2 linked regions of the Pelodiscus sinensis genome follow. The protein of the gene in region 1 interacts with the protein of each later gene in a pairwise test. Links are inferred from orthologs where the notes say so. Each region holds a gene or a part of one and is shown on either strand. Other genes may lie near its edges.

Region 1 (9,900 bases):
CTGGCAAGTTTTTCCACAAAAGCAGCTGCTTTTGCGGAAAAATTTCCAGCTGTCTACACTGGCCACTTGAATTTCCGCAAGAACACTGACGATCTCATGTAAGAAATCAGTGCTTCTTGCGGAAATACTATGCTGCTCCCATTCGGGCAAAAGTCCTTTTGCGCTAAAGGGCCAGTGTAGACAGCTCAGATTTGTTCTGAGCAAAAAAGCCCCGATCGCGAAAATGGCCATCGGGGCTTTTTTGCGCAAAAGCACGTCTAGACTGGCACGGATGCTTTTCCGCAAAAAGTGCTTTTGTGGAAAAGTGTCCGTGCCAATCTGGACACTCTTGTCCGCAAATGCTTTTAATGGAAAATCATGCCAGTCTAGACGTAGCCTAGGTGTGCAGAAGAAAGCTACAAATTCAAAAGGAAGTGGGACCCGAAAAAGATCACTTTGGTTAATTAACAGATATTCCTTTGTTCACTAAATTAGCTGATTTGAAATACAAAATTATGTTTTGATATTCTCTCCCCCTCCCCCCAATTCTGTAACCAACTCATTTAAGGAAGTTTTATGTAACTAACCAAAAAAATTACAAAATGCTTTTTTGTGTGTTTGTACGTGAATTCCAATTTCTGTCCAAACAGAGCTTGACACAAATTACAAGCAACAAAATCAAATCAACTGGGACATCATTTCTAATCTTTTTTGATGTGAGGGACCGGCTTGCTGCTTCTCAATTGTACCTCGGGGACTGGACCCAGTTGTTGAAAAACACTTTCTAGTACAATAGAACCTCAGTGTTGACCATGCACCTCGTTTGGAACTTGAATACACAGACAGCAACAGAGAGAAACAAATAAAAAAAGCAACCCCAGTATGGTACTGCGTTAAACATCAACCACTACAAAGATAAAGAACACTTTTAAAAAGATTTGACAAAGGAAACTGTCTTTGCTTGTTTCATTTAAGCTACAATGGTTACAAAAACTATTTTTTTCAGCACAGTAAAGTTCCATAGCTGAATGAAGTCAATGTTCAGCTGAAAAGAATTAAGAATTTCAATAAAGGTATTGAGTATCAGACGTGTAGCCGTGTTAGTCTGAATCTGCAAAAGCGGCGAGGAGTCCTGTGGCACCTTATAGACTAACCAAAGTGTTGGAGCATAAGCTTTCGTGGGCAAAGACCCACTTCTAAAGGTATTAGTTCTGTCAAGAGATTTAAAAAATTAATCGCGATTAATCGCGCTGTTAAACAATAAGAAGACTCCAGCTGATCCCGGGCTCCATGGTGCGCTGCCCCTTTGAAATTCTGCTGTGGTGTTCCAAAGGGGCATTTAAAGGGGCAGCACCATGGGAGTCCAGGATCAGCTGGAATCCCCAGCTGACCCTGGGCTTCATGCAGCGCTGCCCCTTTGAAATTCCGCGGCAGTTTTTCAAAGGGTCAGCACCGCACAGCTGACTGTGGGCTCGGGGCAGCGCCACACAGCTTATCCTGGGCTCCACTTGTTCTGCCCCTTTGAAACGCAGCCGTGGCATTTCAAAGAGGCAGCGCCGTGGAAACACCTGAGATTAATGCATGTTTAAACGATTAACACGTTAATTCTGCTCTGCATTAATCAGAGGCATTAATGCGCATTAACTGACAACCCTAAGAGGTATGTTACGCTACAGAATTGTTAAAACAAATATTCTCCAGGGTAGCAAAAAGAATCATGTTTATTTAAAGACTGTATTTAGCTGCAAATCAATGTTTTCATCTTCACCAACCAATGAGACTCAACCTTTTGAAAGTGACTAAAACATACAAATGCACAATTATATTAAAATCTATTCTTTAAATCAAGGTTTCCTGATTACTCATTTAAAACAACCCATCCCAGCCAAAAAAAGAAATCACACATCTAGCAGATGACGCTATACCATCAAAAGTTACTAGTCTAGTGCCTTCGTTGTTGGAGCTTTGTTCGATTGAGTTGTTAGTAACACACGCAAAGAAGTTGGGTCTCACTCCATGTTGTGCTACTGACCCACTGTGATGTTGGGCACATCATCTCACCTCTCTGTGCGCCTCGGTTTCCCCAGAGGTAATGTGCAGAGACTACTTCCCTCACCTTTGTAAAAGTGCCTTGAAACAAAGTGCTAGTTAATTTAAAAACACAGGCCAAGATTTCCAAGAGTGGCCAGTGATTCGGGGGACCCAAACTGAGACAGCTTGAAAGGAGCCGGATGTGCTGCACTTTCTGGACTGTGGACGTTCACCCTGCAGCGACTCGATGCCACGGTGATGGGCACCATAGGAGAACCCCAAGCCGTAGCTAGCGCCGTGGGGCTCCCTCACCTGGTCGTTCAGCAGGACGGCCAAAACGATGTAGCAGACGGTCTTCCGCACTCTGACAGGGTGAGCGGGCGCGGGGGCCGAGTCATACCGCTCCTGCACCTCCCAGCCTCTGCCACTCAGCACGGCGTCCAGCTCCTCCGCCGGAGCCCCGGAGGCCATGGCTGCAACACCCCAACCCCCCCCACGGGTCAGACACCAGGAGGGACCAGGGGGCTGTGGGGACGGGAGCAGGGTGACCTGAGCGCCCTTGAAATGGGGGGGCCCAAGGGGTACAGATGCTGGGGGGGGCAGCTGTCTTCCTGCACCCCAATACTCCACACCAGGAAGGGGGTCATGGGGGGGCGGGGGAGCAAAGGCTCCAGCGCACTGGGGCCAGCTGGGATGGGGGGGGTTGAGCCCCAAATAGCCCCGCCCCCTTGCACCCCCCCATCTCTCATGGGGGTCAGCAAGAAAAAGGGGGGGCTCTGAGAGCTGGGGCTTAAGGGGCAGGAACGGGCTGGGGGACCCCCCCCAGAGCTGGGGAGACAATGGGGGGGCTGGGGGGCCCCTAGAGCGGGGGGGGGCTGGGGAGACAATGGGGTGGCTGGGGGGCCCCTAGAGCGGGGGGGGGCTGGGGAGACAATGGGGGGGCTGGGGGTCCCCCTAGAGCGGGGGGGGCTGGGGAGACAATGGGGGGGCGGGGGGGCCCCTAGAGCGGGGGGGGCTGGGGAGACAATGGGGGGGCTGGGGGGCCCCTAGAGCGGGGGGGCTGGGGAGACAATGGGGGGGCGGGGGGCCCCTAGAGCGGGGGGGCTGGGGAGACAATGGGGGGGGCGGGGGCCCCTAGAGCGGGGGGGCTGGGGAGACAATGGGGGGGCGGGGGGCCCCTAGAGCGGGGGGGGGCTGGGGAGACAATGGGGGGGCGGGGGGCCCCTAGAGCGGGGGGGCTGGGGAGACAATGGGGGGGCTGGGGGGCCCCTAGAGCGGGGGGGGGGGCTGGGGAGACAATGGGGGGCTGGGGGGCCCCTAGAGCGGGGGGGGCTGGGGAGACAATGGGGGGCTGGGGGGCCCCTAGAGCGGGGGGGGCTGGGGAGACAATGGGGGGCTGGGGGGCCCCTAGAGCGGGGGGGGGGCTGGGGAGACAATGGGGGGCTGGGGGGCCCCTAGAGCGGGGGGGGGCTGGGGAGACAATGGGGACCCCCCCGAGCTGGGGGGCCCGGGCAGGGGGCGGGGCCGGGCCCCGGGGACTGAGGCAGGAGGAGTCGGGAGCCCCCCTGGCTCCCCCCCACTTACTCCACTTTCCCCGGCGGCCTCCGCTCCCTTCCCCTCCCACCCCGGAAGAGGCTGGCAACGCTCAGCTGCCATTGGCCGGCTGGGGCCCGCCCCTCCCCTTCCATTGGGCAGGAGGGGCGGTCACTCAGCCGGCCCAGGCGGGGAGGAGGAGCCTCTTCTTAAAGGGGCCGCGTCACCCCCCCACCCCCCTCCAAGGGCTCGCGATGTCCTGCTCTGGGCACCTCCGTAGCGACGTGGAGGGGGGGGCACCCTGGACCCCTGCCATAGGGCGGCGGGGTCACCCAGCAGTGCCAGCCCCCCCCCCCGGGGTATTAGGGGCCAGTGCCAGCCCCCCCCCGGGGCATTGGGGCCAGTGCCAGCCCCCCCCCCCGGGGTATTAGAGGGCAATGCCAGCCCCTCATTTTTTCCATCCATGTGTGGAATAAGTTTTGTTCCGTGCACCGAGGCATGTGCGGACGTGCTCCGTAGGTAGAAACCCAGGCTGCCGGCTGGGGGTGCTCTGCTACTCCGCTGGGCGGCATTTGAATCTCTCCCGGGCGGCTGCCCAAGCACTCGGCTTACGGGGAACACTGGTCCTGAGCCAGGACGGGTGCCTAGGCGCTGGGGGAACCCCATCAATCATGAGCGGGAACTGGCCTGAGCCCCATCAAACTCATGGCACTGACTAGCTGCAGGCAGCGACGGGGTTCCACGCAGGGCTGGGTTTGATGTATCCACCTCGTAGGGGAAGCTCCCTGAACCCTGGACACCCCCCTCCAATGCCTGGAGCCGGGAGAGTTTCGGAGGCTTTTTGCTCACTCAAAGGGTGTCTTTGTCTCCTGGAAAAAGGGAACTATCTGGCCTCCCACCCAGAGTCACAAGCGACGGGAGAGGCCTGTGGAAAGCAGGGAGAGCGTGTGGCCCAGCCAAGCAGAGCAGCGTTCAGCTGGCCAGCAGCCAAGCGGAGCATCTGGTCTAAACTTACCCCAGCGCCTCACTTGACAGGGTCTAATTCACAGCAGCCTGAAATGACCGGCTCTTAATCTGTGGGGATTGGCTGCTTGATCCCTCCCTGACCCGGGCTGACCCTGCCTGGCCGGCTAAACTCTCAGCTCTCACTCATCTGCAGGGCGGAACCGGGGCCGTTTCTTTTAGCTGGCGGGCTGCGGGTGCGGAGGAGCCGCAGCGCCTGACTTGCAGGCGGAGTCGAGCGCTGGAAGGAGCCCTGGAGTGGCCTGCAAGAACAGGGAGGAGAGACGGGATTCCCCCATCCTCTCTGAGCTCCCAAAGGCTGTGAGTCTGGCTTGGCAGACAGGACGGACAGGGCAGGCTCTGTGAAGCATTGTCCAGGGGCCCCATGTCCGGCGCAGCAGACGGGGAAATCTGACATGGGCCCCAGGCCAGCCCTTCCTGGTCCAAGATCTCCAAGTGCTTCGCAGACATCAGTGGGTTCGCCCTCCGGGAGGCTGCTCAGGATTGCTGACCCCACCCGGTCGGGGAGAAATGGGACCAGAGCCCAGAGCTTCTGACTCCGAGCCCAGCCCCGGCTCTGCTCACTACACAACACTCATCCCACGAGGTAGACATCAGAGCTGAGCCCTGACTCCCAGGCAGGCCCCCCACCCCCGCTCTGACCACTAGACACCGCTTCCCTCCCACAGCCCTGAGGGCCTCGCTTGTTGCTCTCGCCAGAATGCACCATCCTGTCCCAGGGGCTGCCCACCGAAAGCCCCATCTGTGATACGGGTTCATGGCCATGGGAAATGGACCCTCACAAGGGGAGTGTTTTGGGCAGAGAATTATGGGCATTGCTGTGGAGAGGCCGGGCTCCAAGTGCAGGCGTCCCGGGGTCAGCACAGGGACCACAGGGCAAAGCTTCTGGGTGATCGCGGCCAAACGAGCCCTGAGCCACGGGGCCCAGAACACAGCCCTGGTGCAACATCATCCAGGCACGCGCCGAATCCCGAGTCAGTGCCGGGGGTGAGGCCAAGCCCAGGATGTGCGGCACCAAATACAGCCTGAGCACAGTGATCCGCCCCACACTGGGAGGTGCAGCAAACGCCAGGCTCCCCCCACTCCCCCGGCGACGTCTCAGCATCGTCCCACTGGGGCACCCCACACGGTGCCAACAGGCAGGAGGGCAGCCGAGCGAGTGTCACGCCCCTGCTGCCTACGCGACCAGCTCCTCGGTGCCTGGGTGGAGGCCCTGACTCGCGTTAACGGGCACAGCCGCGAGCTTGGGTCGGGGAGGGCGTTCTAAGCCGACCAGCCCCGTCCCACGCCTGCACCAGCAGAGCAGCCTCACGCCCGGCACGACCTTCAGAAAGCGCTAAGCAGCCGCCCGGGTCCTGCGTGGGGAGGGTGGCCCTGGTCTGTGGAGAGAGGGGGCATCTCTACCGACTGGTGCAGCAGAGAACAGATGGGAACAGGCCCTCCGGCAAGGCACGGGCGCTGCAGGAGGAGAGCGGCTCTGTTGCTTTGCCCAAGCTGGGGCTGCCTGGGCGTGTGACAGATAGGGAAACCGAGGCAGGGCCGGGTAGCCTCCCGCCCTCCCGGTGCAGCTTCCCACCTCAAGCAGGGTCGCCAACTTTGCAATTCAAAACGAAGGGATTGGTTTCTTAGCACCCTGCCCCACCCTTCCTCTGAGGATCAATCATTGTTATGAGCAGCACCACGCTTCCCGGGGTATCTCGCTGCTTGGAGCAGCGCTCGGCAACCCGAGCGTGTCGCCCAGAGATGAAAAATAAGGGACGTCCCTTGTAATAATGGACTGGGGCAAACGTACCCCCAAGCCACAGCCGCCTGGGGACTCCAGGCCTTGCCCCATTTCCGCTCTGGTCCCCAAGCTCCAGGGAGAGCCCAGATATGTGCTCTCCTTGGGCGGTGACATCCGAGGGCATGAGCCCCCGCCTCCTGCCTTCGTTACGCCTGCGGGGAGGGACCATCCGTCCAGCAGGCTGGGCGGCTGCTGCCCGATCTCACCCCACTTAGCTCGCTCAGCCCCCGTGCCCAGCAATGAGAGTGCAGCCCGGAGGGGCGCAGGCAGGAGAGCGGAATAAACCAGAGGGCTGCGGGGTCACCTCCTGCAGCCCCCGGTGAGATCGGAAAGGGGTCACGCCAGTCTGCCTGCTGGGATCTCCCGGGCCTGGAGAGAGAATCCAGGGGGCCAGCTGGAAGAGTGGGGGGCTGCTCCCAATAGACAAACCCCTCAGAAACGCCCCCCTCCCACAGCTCACTACCCCCCTAACCAAGCTTCCCACACTGGCAGGGCCCAGGATACCCACTGCCCCAGTTTTAATGCCCAGCCATGGTGTGGATTCTCAGGCAGCCGGCAGCGGGGACCAGGGAGAGGTGGGGAAGGCCGAGCGAGATCTGGGTCTCAAGCGTTGCTGGCTGCTGGCTCGGATCCAGTGCCCATGGTTAGACCCTCACTCCTCCTGCCCTGCCCCAAGCCGCCTGCAAAGGGGAGAGCGGGAGAGAGAATTCAACAGACACGGACTCTGCACGTGACGTCGGCCGTGTCTCCGCAGAGACTCGTCTCAGCCGTTTATTTCCTTGGTGCCCCGTGGCCCCCCTGAGAGCGTCTGCGGGGACAGCGCCCTGCCAGCATCCCTGCTGCAGCGCGAGCCCCGGGGCGTGACATCACCGAAGGAAGCACCAAACGTGACAACGCCGGGGTGGGCGGGCGCCGTCGGAGCGAGCACCGGGGTGACGTCCGGCGAGCCGGGCCCTGCCGGATGAGCGCTCAGTGCAGAATGGCGGCCAGGGACCCCCACGCAGCTGGCAGGCTGTCCGATCCGCCGAGGGCTCCAGGCCGGGGCCGCGTGGAACATGCCGGGGGCCACGGCCCAGGACGGGCTCACAGGCGGCTCATCCCGCCCTGCCTGCTCACGTCACAGCTGCTGCCCTTCCCGGTGCTCCAGGCAGCAGCGGGGCCCGAGCGTGCTTGGGCTCCGTGTTGTCCGAGAGACCTTCCTCTTGGGACCCCGCGCTCTGGTCACGTCAGCCTGACAGCCCCGGCCTGTCTGAGCCAGCACCAAAGAGCCACTCCCCGTCCCGACGGGCAGCTGTGGCTCCCCAGGAATCCTGAGCCCCCTTCGCCTCACTTCTGTCTCCTGGAGCCCTGGTCCGAAGCCAGCCTGGCTTTCCGCGCTGCACGTCTGCTAGTGCCTTAATTGTAGCCCTGCAGGGTTCCCACTGCCTCCCGCACAGCACCGTACACCAGGCTGTCCATCTGCAAGAGAAGGGGGGTTCAGACACTGGTGCACACGCTCCTTGGGGCATCCCCATCACCCCTTCCATTTCTATCGAGCACGGCAGCTCGAAGCACCCTGCGGCACTTTGCCTGCAACGGGCCCGACTCTCCCTCCACTCCCGGCCGTGGGAAGCAGGAGGAGCGGAGCTGAAATCGACGGACCCACACCAGAGCCAAGCCAGGCACGATCAGAGACGCTGCTTCGCCTCAGACCAAAATGCAGCCAGCTCTGGGGCAGAACACAACCGCTGACGGACATCAGCGCGGCACAACAGGAAGCAAAGAGCAACCCCATTTACACCTGAAACTGCCGGGGGGGTTGGAAGGAAGCAGAGTGTTGTAACCCCATTGGACATGCCAGAGGCCAGGTTCATAGTTGGACCCCTGCAAAAATCACATTGGTATCTCAGGCCGGCCCTCTCTGTTTTCAGCACCCTGGTTGGCCCCTAGAACCCTGGATTCAGAGCGAATCGCCAACAGCTGGTCTCTGCCATTCACATGCTGACCGGGCTGGATTCTGCTTAGCTTGAGACAGCTGCTCGGACAGTTATTCCTGACCCTACCCAGCTGAGCCAGGCACCCCCCTGTGAGAGATGGGAGGGGTTGTGCGGGGAGGTTAGCCCCTGACCTGTGCATGAAGTCTCTGTGCAATGCCGGCAGGGTCCGTGGCCACGAGCCGGGCCGAGCGGGCGGCGTTCTCTGGCGACAGGAATCGCTGTGTGACGCTGATGATGCTGCTGAGGCTCTGCACCTGCCGGGGGGGGGGGGGGGAGAGCGCATGAGGGAGCCCCAGGGGAAGCATCAGAAGGGGAAGGCCCCATCCTGCCGGAGGAGAGAGCAGGTGCCCAGGCAGGGGAAAGGTGCTTCCTTGCGCTTGCTGATTAATGCATGGATAAAAGGCATCCTAGGAGGTCGCACGGCCCAGGGGATAGGGTCCTGGGACTTAGGAGACTGGGGTTCAACTCCCAACGCTGTTGCTGGGTGACCTCGGGCAAGTCGCTGTCACGCGCCGTGCCTCAGTTTCCCCAACTGCCAAACGGCGATAATGACGCTTTGTCACGTGCTTGGCGCACTCCTGGCGAGACATGCAAGATGTTCCTAGAGGACCCCCTGGCTAGGGTCAAAGGGGGCAGCACCCGATCCCCAGCCCGTTGGCAAGGGCTAACGTGCACCAGAGCTGGGCTCCTGACCTGGTGGGGCGCACCCGTCGGCACCAGCACGGCATCGCCCAGGAACTGGAGCAGGGTCCAGCCGCTCACACCACACTCCTCCCGCAGCCTCCGGCGCAGAGACGCGTCCAGGTAGCAGCTCCCGCGGCCGCTCGGATCCAGCTGCTCTCCCCCGTCCTGCCCTGAGGCTTTACACACCTGCCAGGGGAAAGGGGGCAGCTGACATGAGATGAGTGTGGCAGGTCTCAGCTGAGAGACCTCAGGGCTGGGCGGGGCACGTGCCCACTAGATCCTGGGTGCAGTGCTAAGAACAGATTTCAGAAACCCTCTGGGAATGGACTCTGGGCCCAGCCCCCCGCGAGGGTCATCAGCGTGGCCAGACTGGGTCAGACCAAAGGTCCATCTAGCCCAGTGTCCTGTCTGCCCACAGTGGCCAATGCCCCAGAGGGAGTGAACAGAACAGGGACTCATCCAGTGGTCCCTCCCCTGTCGCCCCTTCCCAGCCTCTGACAAACAAGAGGCCAGGAACCCCATCCCTGCCCATCCTGGCTAACAGCCATTGATGGACCCTGTGACAGCGCGTTGGGGTTTCCCCACTCCTGCACCCCCGTAGGGGCACGAACAGACTCCGCCAGCCAGTAGAACAGGGGGAGTTTATTGCTTCTCCAGGATACAGCACAGCACAGATGGAATCTGGTTACAGGAACTGGGGCTAGGAGGCCTCAGGGCCCCCCCTTGAGATGAGGGGTTGCTGGGCCCTACAATGCCAGCCCCCTTCTCCCCTGCTTCCCAGACAGAAAGTAAACTCTCTTCCAGCCCTGCCCCCCACCAGGGGTTGGACCCCGCCTTCCTCCCTTTGTCTCTCTCCCTGGGAGGCGACCTGTCAGACAGGTTGGGAGCCCC
Region 2 (9,536 bases), on another chromosome or scaffold:
AGGACACCTCCAAGCTGCCCTGCGACAGTGCTCCCCCAGGCAGGTAAGTCTCTCCAGCGCTGCGAGCTTCACCGCAGCAGTGCCCCCAACCGGTGGCCATGCTGCGAGCTTCCCTGCAACAGTGCCCGAGGCGGTGACAATCCCAGATGCTGCGAGCTTCCCCACGGCAACGCCCTAAGGTGGGAACACCCACTGGCGCTGTGAACTTCCCCGTGACAGTGCCCCCGACCGCTGACGATCCCGGATGCTGCGAGCTCTCCCGTGGCAGGACGCCCCGGGGAGGTTCCAAGATACCTGTTAACTCGCACCCCATATCTGCTCTCGTCCACCGCCATGGCCTTCGTCATTGCTGTCACCGCGCCCTGGGGACAGACTCCAGATCGAGGGGCTGTCAGGGACTCCGCCCCTCCCGCTCCCCCCTGCGAAACACCAGATCCCAGGTGGGGGGATGGGTCTGTGCTGAGTGACCCCCCCCTCCCCACCAAACGGTCTGCTCAGCAATAGCTACAGGCACAGGACAGCTGGGTTCTCCTCCTCCTCCGGGAGGGGAGTGGGGGCTAGTGGTTAGAGCAAGGGGGGCAGGGGCCAGGACTCCCCTGAGTCTACCCGTACCTTGGTGGCGACGTAGGGAACCGCCTGCCTCTGTCCGATGATGCCCACGAGACTGGAGATGTTGATGATGTTGCCTCGGGTCTCCCGTAGAGAGGGCAGGGCGGACTGCACCAGAGACGTGAGAGACAGGTGGGGGAGAGGCAGCTGCTTCTGGGGCACGGCACTGGGGACGGGCACATTAGAACCCCTCCCGGGCCCTGGGATGCAGCTGGCTCTGGGGTGGGAGCTGGGATTACAGGAACCCCCCCCCCCCCGGCTCTGGGGTGGAGCACGGGGCCTCGGTATACAGGAGCCCCTCCCTAGCCCTGGGATGCAGCTGGTTCTGGGGTGGGAGCTGGGGGCTGGGATTACAGGAACCCCCCCCCCAGCTCTGGGGTGGAGCACGGGGCCTCGCTATACAGGAGCCCCTCCCTAGCCCTGGGATGCAGCTGGCTCTGGGGTGGGGCAAGGGGCCTGGGTTTCTGGGAGCCCCTCCCAGGGTGGGGGCAACTCTCACCTTTGCCATCAGGAAGTAGCCGACCAGGTTGAGGTCGAGAAGGGCCCGGAAATGCTGGGCGGTGACGTCGTCAATTTGCTCCTCAGGAGGATCTGCGGGTGGGGGGTGAAAAGTGGGACTCCGGCCCCAAACCCCCTCCCCTCCCGACTCAGACTTGGGATCCCCATTTCCCCTTCCGTCAAGTCCGCGGGGCCCCCCATGACACCCCTTTATGGCCCTTGAGCCCCCCAGCTCAGGGGTTCCCCCCACACTCCCGGGCTGCCCCAGGGGCCCCCCCTCCTGTCCCCCAATGGGGGGGGCCACTCACGGCGGCCGGCGTTGTTCACCAGGCAGTCGATACGGCCGTAGCGCTTCAAGGTCACCGCGATCAGCGCCTGGGGGGCAGGAGAACGGGTGGGGGGTTGCGGGGGGCAAGGGGAGCAAGAGGCTGGGTGTGGGAGGGGAGGGAGGATGTGGGGGAATCGGGCAAGGTGGGGGCAGAGATGGAGGTGGGGGGAGCAGGGAGATGGGTGTGGGGATGGGGAAGAAGGAATTGGGGGTCCAGAGCAGGACACAGGTGGGGGGAATTTGACCCACTGGGCCCCAAGCTGAGGTTCCCCCCCCCCCAGTATTGCCCATCCCCCCACAGAAAGCACAGAGAGTAATATACACTTGCTGCATCTGCCCCTCCCCCACCCTGGAGCAGACCCCCCCCCCCGTACCACTTCCCCCACCCACCTGGATCTCCTCTTCGCTGGTGACATCACAGGGCTGGAAATGGGGCTCTCCAGGGCCCCCCGCTTCCTGCAGCTCCTGCTCCAGGGCCCGCCCCATGGCCTCTGCAAGGGAAAGGGGGCTATGGAGCACAGACACCAAACATGGGGTGGGGAGACTATCCAGGAAAGGGGGGGGAACCGGTTCTGGCAGGAGGACGGATTTCGGGAGCCGAGAGAGAACTATTCTCCCCCTCCCCCATCAGCACAAGGAGACTAGTCCCTCCCCCCCACCCCCCCAGGCTGCCAACTTCGGCCACAGGGGTCCCAGTAGGGATGTGAATGGTTAACCAATTAAACGGGATTTTACGTCCCTCACCCCCAGAAACACAGGGAGCAATCTCTCACCTTCAGCTTGGGGGGCACAGAAGACCACATTGGCTCCCTGCCGAACTGGGGGGGAGGGGACAAAGCGGGGTGCAACAGGGGATGGAGAAGCACATGGGGGAGGGAGATGAGAGAATCAAGTTAGCAGTAAAAACACCAGCACCAGTAAATCCCCAAGCGCTGCGAGCTTCCCCATAGCAGTGCCCCTAGACAGGAACTTCCCCCTGGTGCTGCGAGCTTCCCCATAGCAGTGCCCCCAGACCGGGACACACACAGAGCAACGTGAACTTCCCCCCAGCAGTGCCCCTAGACGGGAACTTCCCCCTGGTGCTGCGAGCTTCCCCCCAGCAGTGCCCCCAGACAGGGACACGCCCCCCCTTCACCCAGGAATGTGAACTTCCCCCCAACAGTGCCCCTAGACGGGAACTTCCCCCTGGTGCTGCGAGCTTCCCCCCAGCAGTGCCCCCAGACAGGGACACGCCCCCCTTCACCCAGGAATGTGAACTTCCCCCCAGCAGTGCCCCTAGATGGGAACTTCCCCCTGGTGCTGCGAGCTTCCCCCCAGCAGTGCCCCCAGACAGGGACACGCCCCCCTTCACCCAGGAATGTGAACTTCCCCCCCAACAGTGCCCCTAGACTGGAACTTCCCCCTGGTGCTGCGAGCTTCCCCCCAGCAGTGCCCCCAGACAGGGACACGCCCCCCTTCACCCAGGAATTTGAACTTCCTCCCAGCAGTGGCCCTAGATGGGAACGTCCCGCGTGGTGCTGCGAGCTTCCTCACAGCAGTGCCCGTGGGAGACGATGCAGCTCTGCTGACCCCTGCTGGCCAGCCCCACACATCTCAAGATACATTAATCTCAACTCGTCCCCCCCACGTCTCCACTGAACAAGGGGATGGAGGGGGAGGGGGAGGGGGAGGGAGGAGGGGAAGGAAGGGGAAGACCCCCCCAATAAGTCCAGTCTCCCCGTTAGCAGCGGAGTTTGGGGGCTGCAGGGGGTTCGCTGCCGCGTTCTTCACCCATGGCCCCTCCCCCCATCTCCCAGGGTCAGCGACCGGCCGAATAGATGGACACGGGACAGACAGACAAAGTCCACGAAGATGCCAGACGCAGCCCAACCTTGGAGTCTGCCCCCCACTCCCAGCCCCCCAGGAGCCCCACATCCACCCTCTTGCAATGTCCCAGCCCCCCACAAATCTCCCCTGATCCCCTCCGCAGGGCTCTGCTCCCCCACGGCCGCCTCCGCCCCCCTACTGCCCCCCCTTCCCCAAGCTTCCTCACCCCGCTGCAGCCCCCCCCCGCAAGCCCCTTGCCCCAGAAGCGCCCCCCCCCGCAAGCCCCTGGCCCCAGAAGCGCCCCCCCCCCCGCAATGCCCCCAGCCCCCCTGCAGGTCCCCCCGCACCAAACTCCTTCACGATGGCCGCGCCGATGCCGCGGCTGCCCCCGGTGACAATGGCCACCCGGCCCGGGTAGCGCAGCCCCGAGGCCATGGTGCTGGGCGCACCCGGGCTCGCAGCTGCTCGGGGCGAGGGAAAAAGGGAAGCTGCTGCCCGCAGGGCACATGAGGGGCGGTGCATCCTGGGAAATGTAGTCCTGTCCGGCGGGGGCGGGGCATCCTCCCTCTAGGGGGCCGCTCCCACCCGGCCACAGGGCAGGGCCTGGCTGGCTATGGGGGGCAGGGGATTTGTCTGGGCAATAAAGTTTCAGAGATTCAAGGGCTCAACAAGGGCAACATAAATGAGATTTATTGAGTACATTTGTCTGCGATGTGCCCCCACGAACGCCCCGAGGGTCCAGGGGAAATCGAGGCTGAGTTCCCAGCTGCCCCTGGGGTGGGGTTCTGGGTATCCAGGGACCGGTGTGCCCTGTAAGCTGAGCGCTTGGGCGGCCATCCAGGGGAGAGTCAGCTGCAGCCGAGCAGGTTGGCAGAGCGCCCACAGCTCAGTTTTGTTTGCACAGGCGGTGCACGTCCGCACATGCTTCGGTACGCACATTTCTTCCGCACAGGTGGTGCACATCCGCACATGCATTGGTACACATAAAATTTATTCCACACATAGATGGAAAAGATTAGGGGGAACACTGACAGGGGCCCCTTGACTGGCGCTGGGCCAGGGCCCCACTGCAGTAGGGCGGGGGCTGGGTACACAAGGACCCCTCGCCCCGCCCAAAGAGAAAGCCCCTGGCAGTGGGGAGAGTGCAGGCTGTCAGCAATTAGCAGGTTCCCACGTCTCTGACTCCAGCTGCATTGGGACTGTGGCTGAAATCTGCTGGCCCCAAAGCCCAGGTGGGGGGCAGAGGACCATCCAGTACCCCACAAATCCCCCTTCCCACTGGCCCCTGACTGGCCCCTTCGCTGCAGCTCCTGTAGGGTGGGTGTTGGGAGGGAGCCTAGGGCAGGGGCTGCAGGGCGGTTGTGAGGGGCACTGGCAGAGCTGGTGGGGGGCTGGACTAGAAGAGGGTTCAGGGAGTGCACTTCCCAATCTGCCCACCAGAGGGCAGCAAGATGCTGGGACCCTGCATGGGGCTAGGGCAGGGGTCTCCAGCCTTTTTAACCCCAAGGTCACCTGTTCGATGGAGGGGCAATGTCACCCCCACATACCCTTCCCCCGCCCCTTCTCTGAGGCCCCTTTCTCCTCCCCCACCCTCACTTACTCACACAGGCTGGGGTAGGGGGTTGGGGTGCAGGGTCTGGTCTTGGGCCAAGGGGTTTGGCATGGGGGGGGCTCCGGGCTCAGCCAAGGGCGGGGGATCGGGGTCCGGGGGGGTTCAGGGTGCAAGTTCTGGGAAGGAATTTGGGTGCAGGGGGACTCACGTCTGGGGCAGGAGAAGGTTCGGGGCAGGGACAGGGGTTCAGGGAGCAGACTCTGGCGGTTTCCGCTGGGTGGGGCAGGGGGGTTAAGGCAGCTGACGTCCACCCTGCCCCCGCCCCGCTCCTGAAAGCAGCTGGCAGCTCAGCAACAGCTCCGTGGCGCCATGTGCTGCCCCTCCTCTACCGGCACTGAGCCCACAGCATCCACTGGCCTCGGTTCCCCGTTACTGATCAGTGGGAGCTGTAGGAGCGGGGTCGGCATGTGGAGTCCCCCTGCTCTGCCTCCCTCAGGGGCTGCAGGGACATGGGACCATCTCCACCAGCAGCAATGGCCACGGGGCTGGTGACTCCGGCCACGGCAGGTGCGGCAGTTTAGAACTCACGGCCCAAAGAATGACACTGACGCGCTAGAGAAACGAAAACGATGACACGCACGGAGCTGTCCCAAACCGAAAGGAACCCACTTTGCAAGCAGGAAAAGTAACAACCCCCCACGTGTGTGTTGGGTGGGGAGAGGAGAGGGAAGGACGGGGGGGGGGGGGTGAGACAGAGACGGACACACACACAGTGTGAGATCTGCCTTGCCACGCTCCCTCCATCCCCTTCTCTCTGTGTGGAGATGGGATACAGAAGTGGGGGAGAGGGGAGACACCCTGACATCAGCGCCCCCCCTTGCCCGCCCCACACCCTGCACAGCGAGCAGGAGGCTCTGGGGGGCAGCTCTAAGGCAGAGGGCAGGAGCAGCAGGACCGTGGGGCAGAGGGGCAGCGCTTGAGAGCTTCCCGGCCAAACCAGTCAGGATCCCAAGATCAACTGGTTGGTGACTGGGTTAGGGAGTCCCCAGTCTGACCTTTGACCCTGGGTCCCAGCCCCACCTCCCCTTTGGGCACATCCCCATATATAGCCCCCCCCCCCGATGATGCAGAGAAGGGGCGGGACTTGACCCTGCCTCTGAGCCAATGGGTTAGAAGCTGGATTGCAGCAGGGTTATCCTGATTGGCTGGCTCCCCTCGCACAGGTACGCCACCACCTGGCTGGGTGGGGCATGCGCACCCTGCCCCTGGCACCTGCCATTGGCCAAGCCTTTGTGACCCACAATCCTTTGCTCCAGCACCCAATTCCCACAATCCTTTTGGGAGGCCCAGAGCGGAGGCAACGCCCGACTGGATGCCTTGTGTACAGTCGACGTCCCATTGGCCAATTCAGGCAACGGGGCTGCCCAATGCGATGTGTCCGGCAGTGGCGATGCCCGATTGGCTGCCTCCGACAGACACGAGGCCTGATTGGCTGCATCTGGCGAGGCGGACAACCAGTGAGAAAACTCAGAAACAGACGATGCCCAATTGGCCGCTTGATTTAGAGGCGATGCCTGATTGGCTGATTCTGCCCGCTGCACGGATTGGGCGGTAAATGCCGTCTTCTGATTGGCCGGGCTGCACGGTTTAGTCACGACGTGATTGGCCCCTGGGTCTTCCCTGGAGGCTATCATGGTAAGCGGTAAGTGCTGATTGGTCACTGCATGCAGCGACTCTGGGGAGGGGTTCAGACGGGGGTCACAGCCCTCCCGCTGGGGTTCAGGCGGGGGCTTCCCTGCACAGAGAGAGGAAACCAGAGTCACCCCCCCCCAAAGCCGAGACCTCTGGGGTGGGGGGGGCTGGGTATAGGCGACCCCTCACCCAGCATGGAGATGCAGCCACCTCTGGGGTGGGGCACGGGGCTGGGCATGAGGCAACCCCTTCAGATCTTCAGTGAATTAAAGAGAAATGGGCCCCTTGCCCAGCCCCACCCCCTGCCCCAGACTCTCCCCCACCCCCCAGCTGTTCCTACCCCAGGGACCTGCCAGCCGGAGCCAGAAATTCCCCCAACAGCTGAACCAGATTCCAGCCATTTTCCACTGTGTTTGTTTAGCTGTTTTCCCGTTGGGAGGGGAGGGGAGGGGAGGGGAGGGGGTCTAGAAAGAGGCCCCTAAAGGGGGGGGTAAAACTCGGGCATCCTGGTTCCCAGCCCCCTGCTCTGCCCACTAGACCCCGCCCCCCCGCCCCCCGAGTGTCCAGGCCCCCAGCCCTGTTACCTGTGATGAGTTTGCTGCGCTCAGAGGCCTCGGTGGCCAGCGCGTATGCCAGGCTCCTGATCCGGTGACGGTCTCTCTCGGGGGGTAGGGAAGGCCCGCCCCAGTGTCCCTTGGTCTGCCCCCCCCTCACTGGTACGTCCATGTCGGTCAGGCTTGGCTCCGGCCCGAGGCTGGGAGGGGGAGCTGGAAGGCGGAACTGGAGAATTTTGGAAGGCGGAGTGAAGGGAGGGAATCTAAGCAGTTCAGCGTGTCCGCCCCGCCCCCCGCCCATGTCCTAACCCAGGCACACACCTCTAACGCTAACCACTAGACCCCGCTCCCCTCTCCGAACCTGGAAAGAACCCAGGGGCCCTGCACTACTGGCAGGCCGGAGGTGAGCTTGACTGGGGGGGCACAGTGGGTGTGGCCTCAGGACATGCCCCACCCCCTGGCAGCCCCTCCCCCGCAGGCTGCGTACCCACCCGGCTGGCGCTGGTCCGGAGGGAGCCAGGCCGAGGAGCCCCAGGCGTCGGCCTGGCCGCCTCATGCTGCCTCTGCCCTTCCTGGTGCCGCCGCATCCTCGCCAGCTGCTCCTCAATGCTCATCCGGGCCCGGTGGGGACCAGGGGGTTCTGGCACACGCTCCTGGGGTAAGGGGAGAATCGCAGACCAAACACCTGCAGGGAACCCAGGCGTCCGGGCTCCCAGCCCCTCCTCCCCCCCGCTCTAACCATTAGATCCCACCCCCTTCCCCGATGTGGGGAGAGAACCCAGGCGTCCGGGCTCCCAGCCCCTCCCCTCTCCGCTCTAACCATTAGACCACACCCCCTTCCCCAATCTGGGGAGGGAACCCAGGCGTCTGGGCTCCCAGCCCCTCCCCTCTCCGCTCTAACCATTAGACCACACCCCCTTCCCCAATCTGGGGAGGGAACCCAGGCGTCTGGGCTCCCAGCCCCTCCCCTCTCCGCTCTAACCACTACACCCCAGGGCCCTCCCTGTTCTGGGGAGATAACCCAGGCATCTGGGCTCCCAGGCACCGACTCCCAGGGGAGTGAGGGAGCCCAACTACCTTGGCTGGCAGCTCCTCGGTTCTCTGCTCCCAGGGCTCCAGGGGGCCTGGGCGGGGGGCGGCTGGAGGCGAGTGGAGACCTGTGGGGGCAGGGGAGGGGGTTAAAGGGGCGGGGAAGGGACAAGAGGGGTGCATGTTTCCCCAGACAGACTAGGCAAGGGGGGAGGAACCGCACCTGGTGCCGCGTCTGTCTCCTGCAGGGGGGGCCCTCCGTCCAGCTCGGGGGACCCAGCCCCTCTTCTAGAAGGGCCCTGGGGGGGCTGGGAGCCCCAGGTCTCCCCCCTCGTCGCTGGGACCTCGTCCCTCACGCCAGCTGCCTCGCCCTGCGGGGAACAGAGAGACGTGGGGGGGGGGAGCCAGGGTCTGTGGGGTGGGAGGGAGGGGCACTGGCAGGGCTGGGGGGCTGGGCTAGGACAGTCAGAATTGGGGCCCCCTTTGACAGCAGCCCCCAGTTCTTCCCCCAGCCAGTCCCCACTCCCCAAGGATGGGTCCCCCCCCCAGGAGTGCAGCCCCCCCCTCACCCTGGCAGATGGCTCAAGGCTCCTTCCATCCGGCCCTGGGAGGGGGCTCTGGGCTGAGCCCCCCCCAGGCTCCAGAACGGGGGAGGCAGCCGGAGAGAAGCCTGCAAAGGAGACAAAACAGAGTCAGTGACCCCCCCTGCCAGGACTCTCACCCCAGCCCCTGCAGCCCAGGCCCCCGCCGGGCCCCCACCACACCCCCCTGCAGCCCAACCCCCCCCGGGTCCCCGCCACACCCCCTGCAGCCCAATCCCCCCCCCGGGCCCCCGCCACACCCCTGCAGCCCAATCCCCCCCCCGGGCCCCCGCCACACCCCCTGCAGCCCAATCCCCCCCCCGGGCCCCCGCCACACCCCCTGCAGCCCAACCCCCCCCGGGTCCCCGCCACACCCCCTGCAGCCCAATCCCCCCCCCGAGCCCCCGCCATACCCCTGCAGCCCAATCCCCCCCCCGGGCCCCCGCCATACCCCTGCAGCCCAACCCCCCCCGGGTCCCCACCACACCCCCTGCAGCCCAATCCCCCCCGGGCCCCCGCCACACCCCCTGCAGCCCAATCCCCCCCCCGAGCCCCCGCCATACCCCTGCAGCCCAACCCCCCCCGGGTCCCCATCATACCCCTGCAGCCCAATCCCCCCCCCGGGCCCCCACCACACTCCCTGCAGCCCAATCCCCCCCCCGGGCCCCCGCCACACCCCCTGCAGCCCAATCCCCCCCCCGGGCCCCCGCCATACCCCTGCAGCCCAATCCCCCCCCCGGGCCCCCGCCACACCCCCTGCAGCCCAATTCCCCCCGGGCCCCCGCCACACCCCCTGCAGCCCAATCCCCCCCGGGCCCCCGCCACACCCCCTGCAGCCCAATTCCCCCCGGGCCCCCGCCACACCCCCTGCAGCCCAATCCCCCCCG

The links.
Region 2: the proteins of NUDT18 (region 1) and HSD17B14 interact in binary tests that used the Homo sapiens proteins (3 or more experiments, as listed by UniProt). The two-hybrid records come from large-scale screens. The link is inferred for Pelodiscus sinensis from reciprocal best matches to the Homo sapiens genes NUDT18 and HSD17B14.

The regions. Positions count from the first base shown.
Region 1 is NC_134738.1:11,703,102-11,713,001, reverse strand, and holds the start of NUDT18 (8-oxo-dGDP phosphatase NUDT18), read right to left. Parts: upstream 3,673-9,900; 5' UTR 3,595-3,672; intron 2,484-3,594; 5' UTR 2,482-2,483; coding exon 2,323-2,481; intron 1-2,322. Other genes in the region: HR (lysine-specific demethylase hairless), read right to left, coding at 7,745-7,807, 8,457-8,579, 9,019-9,195. UniProt on the Homo sapiens protein: Mediates the hydrolysis of oxidized nucleoside diphosphate derivatives. Hydrolyzes 8-oxo-7,8-dihydroguanine (8-oxo-Gua)-containing deoxyribo- and ribonucleoside diphosphates to the monophosphates. Hydrolyzes 8-oxo-dGDP and 8-oxo-GDP with the same efficiencies.
Region 2 is NW_027465977.1:63,307-72,842, reverse strand, and holds the start of HSD17B14 (L-fucose dehydrogenase), read right to left. Parts: upstream 3,867-9,536; 5' UTR 3,764-3,866; coding exon 3,589-3,763; intron 3,513-3,588; exon of another isoform or gene 3,232-3,512; intron 2,254-3,231; coding exon 2,209-2,253; intron 1,927-2,208; coding exon 1,826-1,926; intron 1,483-1,825; coding exon 1,416-1,482; intron 1,201-1,415; coding exon 1,109-1,200; intron 718-1,108; coding exon 613-717; intron 363-612; coding exon 295-362; intron 44-294; exon of another isoform or gene 1-43. Other genes in the region: PLEKHA4 (pleckstrin homology domain-containing family A member 4), read right to left, coding at 5,963-6,588, 7,070-7,265, 7,531-7,692, 8,117-8,196, 8,292-8,439, 8,638-8,738. UniProt on the Homo sapiens protein: Catalyzes the NAD(+)-dependent oxidation of L-fucose, yielding L-fucono-1,5-lactone, which rapidly converts spontaneously to L-fucone-1,4-lactone. Can also act on D-arabinose and L-galactose, with lower catalytic efficiency. Does not use NADPH.